Linked DNA regions of Coturnix japonica. The protein of the gene in region 2 purifies or fractionates together with the protein of the main gene of each other region. This does not show direct contact. Links are inferred from orthologs where the notes say so. Each region holds a gene or a part of one and is shown on either strand. Other genes may lie near its edges.

Region 1 (3,748 bases), on a different chromosome or scaffold from region 2:
AAAGAGCAGCAATTAGTCACCATCCCATGAAATGCTGCAACTCGTTCCTCTCTCTGAATCTCATCTGTTCATCTTAGTCAGATTATGGGGAGCGGGAGGCTTCATTTCTCACCTGAGGTTTTAGTAACAGATTGAAAAAACAATGGCACTACATGGGAATATAATGTGACCATCATCTAGAAAACACACAGAGGCAGAGGGATTGGGTTCATGCAGAAACCAACCATGATCTGGGCCAAAAAACTATGGGATATATTGCTTAATCTACCCCTCTGGCTCTGTTCTTAGAATTCAAATTTTCTCTGAGCACTCCAGATCAGCTGGGGATGCTACAGAGTATTGAAGTTCCATGATATTCATGAACTCTGAGAAGTTTTGTGGCAATGTGGAAAGACGGTAAATGAGGTACCATTTGTGATGCTGTCTGTCTGGACACTCACAACAGCAAAGGCAAACTTAGCCAAATCAATTACTTTTAGTGGCATCAGCAATGGAGGGCAGCCAGCCAGCCCTACAGTTCTTTAAGGAGTTATAAAATGCACTTCATTTTTATAACCTCTGTACAATAAAGTATTGCTCTAAAAAGTGTTTCGGAGCACATGAATTCCTGCTTTCTTTCAGAACATTTTCATTCCTGAGTGCATCCTGAGCGCCCCAGAGACATCCCACACCACTGGGGTAGCACTGAGGCTGATATGGTACAAAGGATATGCAGCTCAGCTCAGCCCACCTGAGGGGCTGGGAAGGGAGCAAGGGCTGAAGAGCAAGGCAACCTCCTCCCTTAAAAAGGCTCTGCCGGGGACGGAGGGGTGTGTGTGGGGGGGGGGGGGGGGGGGTAAGGGCAGGCCCTGGCGGAAGCCCCGCCTACACCTTCCGCTCACACCTCCCTGCGGCCCCTTCCGCCGCGCATGCGCACAGAGCGGAACGGCCTATTCACGCATCCAAAATGGCGGCTGCGATGGATGTGGACACCCCCAGCGGCACCAACAGCGGCGCCGGCAAGAAGCGCTTCGAAGTGAAGAAAGTGAGACCTGCTGGCGTGGCGCGCTCTACCCGGCCGGTCCCAGCGGGAGGAGGGAGGTCGGGAGCGGCCAGGTGGCCGCGAGCGGGTCGGGGCGCTGAGCCGCTTTCCGCGCCCCCTCACGGAGCCGGGCGTTGCTTCCGCACCGGCACCGCCGTATGAGGGGAGGGGGGGGCGGTGCTTGCGGAGTCTATTGGCGTGTGTCGGGGCCAATGGGTGAGACGGGTCTCCGCGCGTGGAACGGAGGTTGGCCAATCAGAGGGCGCGACCACGCGGGGAGGAGGAGGGAGAGAGGCGAGGCGGGGCTAGTTCTGGCTGGGCCCCGCCGCCCAGAGCCGAGGGTAATGCCGGGCTTAGGGGCGAGTCGGTGCGCTGCTGTTGCCTCCTCAGTCCCGGCTGCTTTGGCTCAGTTGTCTTAGTGGCCCTACGTGATGTGAAGGGAGCTTTGCACGCATTTGTGTGGCTGCTTCTTTTTGTATTCTTCACAAATCAACTCGTAGGTGACCAACAAATGCTGTCTTGTCATCCCGGTTTGCTTTGCTTCCCCCAAACAACCATAATATCCCTCTTTGGCCTAACAACCATAATATCCCTCTTTGACCTACCCTCTCCAGTGTGGCTGCGAGCTGAATGGTGGTGAAAGATCCCAAGTTCACTTCAACGAGGCCCGGAGGTGGTTAGGAGCACTTTGTGGGAGCACTTTTGATATTGTATATTTTTTGCAATGAAAATGATTCAGGAGTCGCTGAGGGGCAAAGTTAGAGGTGATTCTGGTTGTTGGCCCCAGCTGCTCTGAGGGATGATTACTGGGAAAACAGCTACAAACAAGAGAAGTTCCAAACTGAGGATGTGGCGTGAGATGCATTCTTGCCTCCAGATTATGAATTGAAATGCAGATGTTTGCATTTGTATGGCAAAAAAAAGAGAGTGGGACTAGTATCAATTGTTTCTGAGACTGGAAGGAGGCACTGAGTGTGAGAGGTATCTGAGAAAGAATTACTCTGGTGCTGTAAGGTGTGTGTCTTTTAATATCCTAACCTTATCATTTCAGAAAGAAAGAGGATCTTGAGGAATAATGAGGATTTCCATGTGTTATATGTTGAATAAAATTTATGTTTCTCTTTTTTCCCCCCTCACTCTAGTGGAATGCAGTAGCTCTGTGGGCGTGGGACATTGTGGTTGATAACTGTGCCATCTGCAGAAACCATATTATGGATCTATGTAAGTAAATGATGGGGAAGCGTGCTTACAGTTTTGACATGTACAAGATTCACAGTTGAAATTTCCACTGCTCAGGGTGCATTTCAGCAAATCTGGTTTTCAGTTCAGAATGAAGTCTTTCGGTAACACTATAAACTCTGTTCTATGTAGTGCTCAAGTTCTGCTTTCTGTGTCTGACTGACCAGAAAAGATTCAGGCCACTGAATTTTTGACTCCTCATTCTGCCAAAGCTACTTTGCCTAAATTAGGGTTATAGTGTGGGGAATTCTGTGGCCAGCTAGAGAATCCGTTTGTTATCTATGAAGAGAATAATCTAATGCCTAAACCAACACCAAGCATTGCTAGTACTAATTCACCTTTTTTTTCCCCCCTGTATGGTCCCAACAGTCCTGTTAACAAATACACTTACTATTTAGGAAAACAAAGTGGTAGTAGGAGTAAGTATAAAAAATTCTACTGTGAAATAGGTATCCATATATAAAGTCACCGGCTTTGGTCTAATTGAGGATTGGCAATAAGAACAGAGCCATTTTTTTTTCCCCTCAAATCTTTGGCAATATATGGTTGGCACCGTAACTGTCCATGTTCTTTCAATGATAAGATACAGAACACCTTTTAACATCCCCCAGATAGGAAGTCACCTGTACTACTAAAATGGGAGGATTGTGGTACCTCAAAAAGCAAGACCTTCAGTACCTGACAAGGGCTAGTCATGATTTCTTTGTGGTCGCTTTGTTTCACTTTCTTCTTAGTAGCCCTTGCAAGTACAGCTGATGGTAACTTACTGTTAGTGAGCCAATGTGATAATATAAAAGAGCAGGGGAAAAGAAAAAGAGGCTGTGCAGTGTACCATGCAGGGCTGAAAGGGGATTAAGCAAGCTGACTTCTTTGCTTTGAGTCAGATGTGTTCTATTTTGAGCCAGCTGCTGCCTGTCCATCGCTCACTTTATTCTTGATCATTAGAAGAGGAATGGTAGCACTAAAGGCAAGCAGGTGAGAGGAGTGGTTGTGACATGTGCTGAGGACCTCTGACATAGTGCTTTACAGTTAAGAATTGAGGTTGGGTGGAATTGAAAGAATATAGACGTGTTAGGAAGAACTTCAAAGGAAGAGAGCACAGGTAACTTAGTTTTTGTTTTGTTTTGCTTTTTGAGTTGCTCAAGCATAACACCTTATTAGTTAGGGCATAATCAATGCTATCAAAAGCCCAAACTGCAAATGATGGACCAAAATTGACAGTATACAGAGTAGAAGCGGTATCTAAATTGGTGTTCTGAGTTCAGCCTTGGCTCTGGATTTACTTACTTCCTTGTTAACGATCATTAATGATGTTAAGCAACATCTTAATTAGATTTTCAAACCGAAGATGTGAAGTGATGGGAAATAGAGAAAAAATTACTAGATTGTGCAGGGAAGAACAACACAAGATTCAGTTTGATAAAGTGCAGGGCAGGAATGTCTCCCTCTCCCACTGATGAGGAGAAACCTTAAAAGGGAAAACATTAC
Region 2 (3,748 bases):
AGCTGACATTTCTGCCACCCATTCAGAAGGCAGCTGGTAAGCTCCTTTGAGCGGAGCCAGGGCAGCGCCTAATGCATTTCTCTGTTCTCCATAGGCTGGTACACTCCTCCAAAAGAAGACGGTTAATACCGAGGACTGTTGTATACCTGGACCAATGCCAACAAAAAGAGCTCTTTTTAATGTTTTCCAACACAGAGACTCGAGCTATGAGTGCCCCTATAACAGCCGTACTGAAGACTTTAGCTATTAGATAAGTTAGTGGATAATCTGTCAACTGACACGTCAAGTATAAGTTGCAGCCTTACCATTCCGCTCATCTTAGGCATCTTGGACTGAGCAGTCTGGGCCTTTGCTGTATTTGTTCTTCATGGATGAAGCGTATTTGGGCCACTCCCTCCCTTCTCCCCTTTTTTACTCTGGAGGTGTAATGCTGCACTGGAGCATTCAGCAGGGCTCGGTCACACACTTCAGTGCATTTCTTACCTTTCGCAGGATGCAGAGCGCCGAGACTTGAGTTGTGTTGTTTCATTTAAAGCCAGGAGGTTGACTATGTTGTTTAATACTGTTATAGGAAATGTCAGACCTTGCGAATCACAGTAGTTTTGTTTGTTTTTTTTCCCTCCGGTCTAAAATGGCAGCGTTTGTAGTACTTCCAAATTACTGATATAGGACAAGCACATGTACGTTACGTCATTAAACATTTTCATGGCTGTATGAGAATACGAACTATTTCTTGGGAGAGATGCTCACGGCCCGATGCTTTTGCTCTGCTTCCCCTCCAGCAGTGCAGGCGTTGTGCCTGCAGCACAGCACAGCCCATGGGCTGCAGCTGCACGGCCGAGGCTCCGAGTCATTGCAATCCCTACAATAACCAACAAAAGCCCACGTCTGTAGGCGATCCATTAATTGACGGGTTGTTGCAATCATTTGTCAACTAACGAACTGATAAAGCGAGTGCGGCACGACGGGGCGACAGCGAGCGTGGACGTGCGACGGGACGAGCCGCAGCGTCGGACGGGGCCGGGCCCAGCGCTGCCCCCATCCCTTGGTGGGCCCGGCCCGGCCCGTCCCGCCCGTCCGAGCCGCCCCGTGCCGTGCTGTGTGTGTGTGTGTGTGAACCTGCACCGAGGTGCCAATAAAGCCGTTTGACACCCGCTGTACGAGCCGCTTCCGGGGCGGGGCCGGAAGGGATGCGGGCGGAAGTGCCGTCGCCGGAAGCGGAAGCGCGTCCCGCCGTGCTCGGTGGGTGTCGGGTGTGGCGCTGAGCAGCGTGTGGCCATGGACACGGACATGGACGGGCCGGGGAAGGGCGGCCTCGTGCTCGGGAACCTGGCCGAGGTGGTGGAGCGCGTGCTCGGCTTCCTGCCCACCAAAGCGCTGCTCCGGGCCGCCTGGTAAGAGACGGGGTAAGGGGGGGGTCGGGCGGAGGTGTGTGCGCCGTTGTTGAGGTGACGGGCCGGGCGCTGTGTTGCAGCGTGTGCCGCCTGTGGAGGGAGTGCGCGCGGCGGATCCTGCGCACGCGGCAGCGGCTCAGTTGGGTGTCGGCGCTGGAGCCCGGCCCGCCCGGCGGACACGCGCTGCTCCGCGCCCTGCACACGGAGCTCCAGGTGCGTCGGGGGGCGGGGCCCGGTTCGTTCCTGCCGGGCGGGGCCGGTACCGGGGCGGCGTGACGAGCCCGCGCCGCGCGTGTCCTTGCAGAGGGTGCACGTCCTGCCGCACACCGTGCTGTACATCGCCGACGCCGAGACGTTCAGCGGGCACGAGGAGTGTCACGAGCACAAGAAAGGTACCGCGGGACGGGCGGGGACCGGCGGGAGGAGCGAGATGAGGCCAGCGGGGAACGAAGCGCGGCCACGGCTCGCGGCACTAAACGGGGCAATGGCGTCGGTAGCGGCCGTGGCGCCAGAAGGGACCGGCCGGGGCTTCGTGTTCCTGTCAGCTTTGCAATGATCGCTTCAGCTCCTCCGCGCCGTTTTTGTTTCCTTTTCAATAGCCAGGAAAAGAAACAGCAAAGAAACAGCCCTTGCGATCGAGAAACTGTTGCCAAAGCGATGTCAGGTCCTTGGACTGCTCACCCCGGGGATCGTAGGTAGGAGCCTCCTTGCAGTGCTGCGCTCCTTAGTAGCGTGTTCGTGCCTGTCTTCTCACCTTCCGTTCTCATCCTGCAGTATACTAAGAGGAAACCTTCTTCCTTGTTTCTGTGTTTTCAAGGCATAGCTCGTGCCGTGCTTCTCGGCAGCAAAAGCGTTTATGTGTTAAAACATTTTCTAGGTGTTTGCTTGGTGTTTGCTTCCAGTCTCTGTCACTGCAGCCGTGACTAATAAGAACAGGCCTATAGCATGAAGGAGTACAGGGCTGCATAAACACCTGTGTGAAGTTAATAGCCGTGAACATTTGATTCTGTGCCTATGGCTGTTTGAGTACTTAGAGTAAGGAAAATTAGTGTATATGTCTGTCTTCTCATGCAAAGTGACTTTAGCATCGTTTGTGGACAATGGAGCTGTTACACCTTTCATCTTTCACAACAACAGCAAAAAAACATTCACACCAGTTATCAGTTAGATGTGTTGTGATGGGAATGAGCTGTCACATTGTAAATTGCACATGCTGTTCTACCTCTTTTAGCCAGACACAAGTGTCAATCACTAATCTTTCTTTGTTTGTGTCTTTGTAGTTACCCCTATGGGTTCAAGCAGCAATCAGCCTCAAGAAATTGAAGATGGTGAAGCTGGGTTTGCTCTTTTGTTTCCCAAAATTGATGGGGTTAAAATCCAAACCTTCCATTTTCCTAAAGAAGTAAAGAATAGGGTCATTGATGAAAACAAATTTGCTGAAGCAGGTATGTCCTTGTTCTGCCTTCAATCTGGGCTTTTGTCGAGTGTTTGGCTGCTCTTTGAGGATCCAGCGTGAAACTGCATGTGGGACCAGCAGCTCCTGTGCTGTGTTCACAGAGCACTGAGGCTCTGCAGGGCTGCTCTGGTAACCACCCATCTCTGTTCCACCCATTCTTGGGAGCACTGAGGTTATTATCCTGAGTTTGTCTCAAACTTCTTCATTCATGCTGCAAGCAGAGCTGCTAAAGGGGAGCTAGTGGGTTTGAAGCAACCCAGTAATTGATTAAAATGAGTTTTGTGCCACAGGGAATTATTTTGGCCATCACTGTTTAGAAGGGAGTGGGAAGGAGTTGCTGCTTTTCCTTAACAAAGTATTTTTGTTTTTAGATATGAAGTTGGGTGTTGTAGCAAGGAAAGGTATAAAGAAAAATTATCTGTCTTAATAATAACAGTTTACGTTCTTCATGTTGTGTTTATGAAGAGTGATCTGAGAGCTCTGAGAGTCTTCCTGGAACCTGGAAGTTTCTTTCTTGGGATGGGAACAGGCTGATGCACACATCTTAATGGTTTTTAATTTTCTAAGTAAAGCTGTTTACTCCACTGTGGTTCTCATTGAACAACGTGTGTGCTCAGTTTGAATCTGTAAAAGGATAATTAGGACAGTGAAGTAAAACCCAAGAAGTGTGCCATGATAAAACGCAAATGCTCTGGGAAAGAAGCTGAAAGCAAGAGGAAGCAGCTACATCTACTTTTCATCTCTGTTCTTTAATGAAATTCTCATGTGTGTAGGGAATGCAGCCCAGCTCATGAATACATGGCTGCCCTGTGTCTAGTTTTTCACTTGCAACAACAGGAAGCCGTTGCTGGAGGCATTAGGTGTTATTTAAGGAGGGAGTAAAGAGTGTATGCAGAAC
Region 3 (3,648 bases), on a different chromosome or scaffold from region 2:
TGTGGTACAAAGTAGCTTACATGTGATGTGTTTAGTACCTTTCACCAAAGAGGGCTGTGAGCTGCTATGATCAGCATACATGCAGTATTTGCAATGCTGGGTGGTGCATAGGACATTAGATACGGTACAATATAAACATATTTGTCATAAAATGCACTGTAATGTTTTAGTAAAGTATTTAGTAAAGTATTTCTGGTCCTATGTGCCCTGTGCATGATTTTAGTAATAGATTTTCCAACTGCTTTTGGGAATGACCAGACTTCTTGTGAGCCAATGGATCTGGCAGATTTGAAGCTTTTCTGAGCTGTTCTTAAGAAAATGCTGCCTGACATATTAAGAAGATAGCATTGGCTTTACCTACTGCAATAATTGGCGTGGAAAGCTCTGTTGATTCCATCCAAAAGACAATGAAAAGCCAGAAAGACTGTAAATTCAATAACCCTTTATGACAATAATTCTGCCTGTTGTCCCAATCTCTCCTTTGCTTTCCAAGACATTTTGGGGTTCCCATCTAACTTGTTCTGATTTGTTACAGACTGCTGCTTTTTCAAAAATGAAGATGGAGATAAAGAAAAGTCGTCGTCACCCATTAGGCAAACCACCAACCCGCTCCCCGTTGTCAGTGGTTAAACAGGAGACCTCGAGTGATGAGGGTGAGTGCAGTGGCACGAAGAATGCCTGTATGTCCTGTCTAATGTGAAAAATTGCTGCAGCCTGTAAACAAAGCTGGATGGCCTGAAAATTTTTGTGTTATGCTGAACTGGTAGGAAATATAGCATGTTCCCATTTATTCCCATAACCCCCCATTATTGCCATAACCCAGCCAGAGACAAAATATATCTGTGGGAGATGTCCCTTCTCACCTCCCATCCTTTATTCTATCAAGAAAAATATTTTCCTGGATAGGTAATGAGGTAACGTTTGGAGAAAAGGAAGTAAGTGTTCACAGAAAATAACCACATGAAAGCTGCCTCTTTGCTGCATTGCAGTGAGTTCTCTGCACCTCAGATGGAGGTGGAGATTGAGGTTAGACCCGCTGTGATGTATACAGGAAAGGTTAATTCTAACTTTTTGCTGGGCTTTTTGAGTCATACAAATGTTGTGGTCCAACTTTTTGTACTCTTGCTTCTGTTGTAGCTTCAGTAATTTGTCGCTTCTGGGTCCTATAAAGTACTCAAGATATAGAAGACTCCATAATAAACTGTTTCACACTTGCAGGTACATGAAGGTGTAGCTGCCAGACCCAGCTTTCAAGAAAATAAAAACTTTACATTCAAAAGGAAATAACAGAATATATTTCCTGTTCACTCCCCTTTTTTGGAAAGGATACTTGTTGATTTTAGAGGAGTTTTCTGTTTGGCAATGGAAGGTGTTGCACAAGCATCTGTCTACATCCTTTCTAGGGATGATGCATTTGATAGCCTGCGTATGTGTAATGTCAAGTGAAATGAAAAAACGTTTGAGACTAATTATCTTGTTTTGGTGTGAAGACCTTGCAACAAACTTTATGCTGGAGGATCCTCATTAGATGGATTCTTTTCACTGTTTTCACTTGTTGGATAGTGTATGGGGACTTTCCTGGCTGACTCAGGAGCAGCTTTCTTTGAAGGCTGGCGTTTCTTGGGGACTGATTTACAGCACTACTGGGCAAAAGATGATCAAACGGATTCTTCTCTTCCCTGCCAGGGAGTAGCAGCTCTCTGTGCGCCTTGCTTTTTCAGGGCTAATATATAAGGGTGATCTGGAGGCTGCAGCAAGGAAAAGTGAACATATAAATTAAAGGAACACAGTATTCTGCTCTAGGATTCATTTGAGACAAATTGCTAGTCTTTTCTCTGTGTGTGTAACTTCTTATTGAGGCATAGGAGGCATCATGAATTTTGAGTCTCACCTAGACTTAGTCCTAGGATGAGCAAAGGCAATGATCACATACAACAGTAATGACTGTTCTTTTTTCTCTGGCTGTCAGTATGGGTTTTGTTGCTGGTTTCCAGTCAGCTTTCATTGATTTAACTGGTAACATAAATCCTTTCTTGTCTCCTTATGTGCTTTGATTAAAATTTGGAGAACATATGCTTTGGTTTTGGCTTGTGTCTCAAAAATTCCTTGAAGGTACTTGATTTTTTTTAAGTGGTGAGTGTTGAGCTGTGCTTTGAAAGTAAGACACTGAGAATATCAATCTGCATACCCAAGGTCACTGATCGTTTTAATTCCTGCTGCATCCTACACAAGATGTGGACTAAGTGTGTTTAGCTGAAGTTACCACTGCATGACACATCCTTGTATATCTGTAAGGTCCAAAACAGAAATAAAATGTTTCAAGAAAGCAAGGATGCTTTAGAAAATTATTTTTGTTGAAGTGTGACAAAGCTAAAACTGTTCATAATCTCAGAAGAAGATTGATTGAGCACAATCCCACATTGTCTGACAAATAACTTTCAGGTTTGTTCGAGGGAACATTCAGAACCTTGACTGTGAACATGTCTGTGTTTTCCTGACAGTTCCTCTTATCTTTTCCAATTGGGTAAAAGTTTGAAAGTGTTAAAAGGGATGTAGAAGTGGAGAGAAGAGCATTAAATACCTCTTTCCAGTAATTAATGGTGAAGCAGTGAACAATGTGGTTTCAGTCACTGAGTTCTGAAGATAAAGCTCCACTGAGATGTTTTTGAGTCCTTCTGATCAAAGGTGTTCTTTGGGTGCTTTGCAGATTGATGCTGTGAGCAGTTTACATTTAGTCTTGCACTGAACATTTCTTAAATGCTTATCGTGACTCAGAACTCCTTAGTAATGAGTGGTAAGAAACTTGGATCCTCAGACTGGCACGAATGGATTCTGTGGTGGTTTAATTGTAAAATGCCAAGGGTTTTTTAAAAACAAAGAATTAGCAAACTAATTAGCATGAGTGGTGCCTATTGGAGCTCTGGCAGAAGAAAGTGTGGTGATGAATGTAAATTGAAGGCTCAGTGATGCGCACTTGATGGAAGTAGCTGTCAAGTAGTTGCAGAAAGGTAAAATGAAAATTTGAACTGTGTGCATCTCATGGCCAGCACTTGTGTTTGTAGAAACAGGTACAGGATGCACTTTGTGAAGGTTGAAATGGACTTGCTGCTGACAGCTGGGAATTGGGAGTTAGCCTAACCAAGCCAGCATGCACTGTATGCACAGCTATCTGAACACAGCTCCCAGTTGGAGAAAGTAAAGGGAGATTTCCCTGCACTTGCATTATGTATTTTGAATTGGGCTTCATTAAAGGATGCTGTTGGTTTCCAGGGTTAGAACAGTGGAGAGAGCAATAGATATTGATTGCTGCTGCTTCTTCCTCATGGATGATATTATCAGGTCATCATTCTCTGCTCTATCTGTCCAACCCATACAGTGGAAATTATATCAATTTAAGGAAGAATTTAAGACATACATGAAGAAGCATGAATGAGTTAAATGTTCCCATTTATTCAACTTGTGTTTTTGAAATATTAACTTTTTACTGTGCTATGGTTTGCCTCTACTAAAGACTGTTCATTATTTTGGAACTTTTTCTTTCTAGAAACATTTCCATTTTCTGGGGAGGAAGATATGAGTGACCCAGAGGCTTTGAAATCTTTACTTTCCCTCCAATGGAAGAATAAAGCACCTAATTTCCCAGCTGAA

What was found.
Region 1: the proteins of FBXO22 (region 2) and RBX1 purify together in Homo sapiens (affinity purification with mass spectrometry; 4 studies listed by BioGRID). This does not show direct contact. The link is inferred for Coturnix japonica from reciprocal best matches to the Homo sapiens genes FBXO22 and RBX1.
Region 3: the proteins of FBXO22 (region 2) and KDM4B purify together in Homo sapiens (affinity purification with western blotting; 3 studies listed by BioGRID, with this or other methods). This does not show direct contact. The link is inferred for Coturnix japonica from reciprocal best matches to the Homo sapiens genes FBXO22 and KDM4B.

What each region holds. Positions count from the first base shown.
Region 1 is NC_029516.1:45,482,868-45,486,615, reverse strand, and holds the start of RBX1 (E3 ubiquitin-protein ligase RBX1), read left to right. Parts: upstream 1-1,218; 5' UTR 1,219-1,233; coding exon 1,234-1,362; intron 1,363-2,163; coding exon 2,164-2,242; intron 2,243-3,748. UniProt on the Homo sapiens protein: E3 ubiquitin ligase component of multiple cullin-RING-based E3 ubiquitin-protein ligase (CRLs) complexes which mediate the ubiquitination and subsequent proteasomal degradation of target proteins, including proteins involved in cell cycle progression, signal transduction, transcription and transcription-coupled nucleotide excision repair.
Region 2 is NC_029525.1:2,728,788-2,732,535, reverse strand, and holds the start of FBXO22 (F-box only protein 22), read left to right. Parts: upstream 1-1,178; 5' UTR 1,179-1,278; coding exon 1,279-1,394; intron 1,395-1,474; coding exon 1,475-1,607; intron 1,608-1,698; coding exon 1,699-1,786; intron 1,787-1,993; coding exon 1,994-2,089; intron 2,090-2,674; coding exon 2,675-2,839; intron 2,840-3,748. Other genes in the region: UBE2Q2 (ubiquitin-conjugating enzyme E2 Q2), read left to right, coding at 95-126. UniProt on the Homo sapiens protein: Substrate-recognition component of the SCF (SKP1-CUL1-F-box protein)-type E3 ubiquitin ligase complex that is implicated in the control of various cellular processes such as cell cycle control, transcriptional regulation, DNA damage repair, and apoptosis.
Region 3 is NC_029543.1:3,820,623-3,824,270, reverse strand, and holds part of KDM4B (lysine-specific demethylase 4B), read left to right. Parts: intron 1-535; coding exon 536-653; intron 654-3,544; coding exon 3,545-3,648. UniProt on the Homo sapiens protein: Histone demethylase that specifically demethylates 'Lys-9' of histone H3, thereby playing a role in histone code. Does not demethylate histone H3 'Lys-4', H3 'Lys-27', H3 'Lys-36' nor H4 'Lys-20'.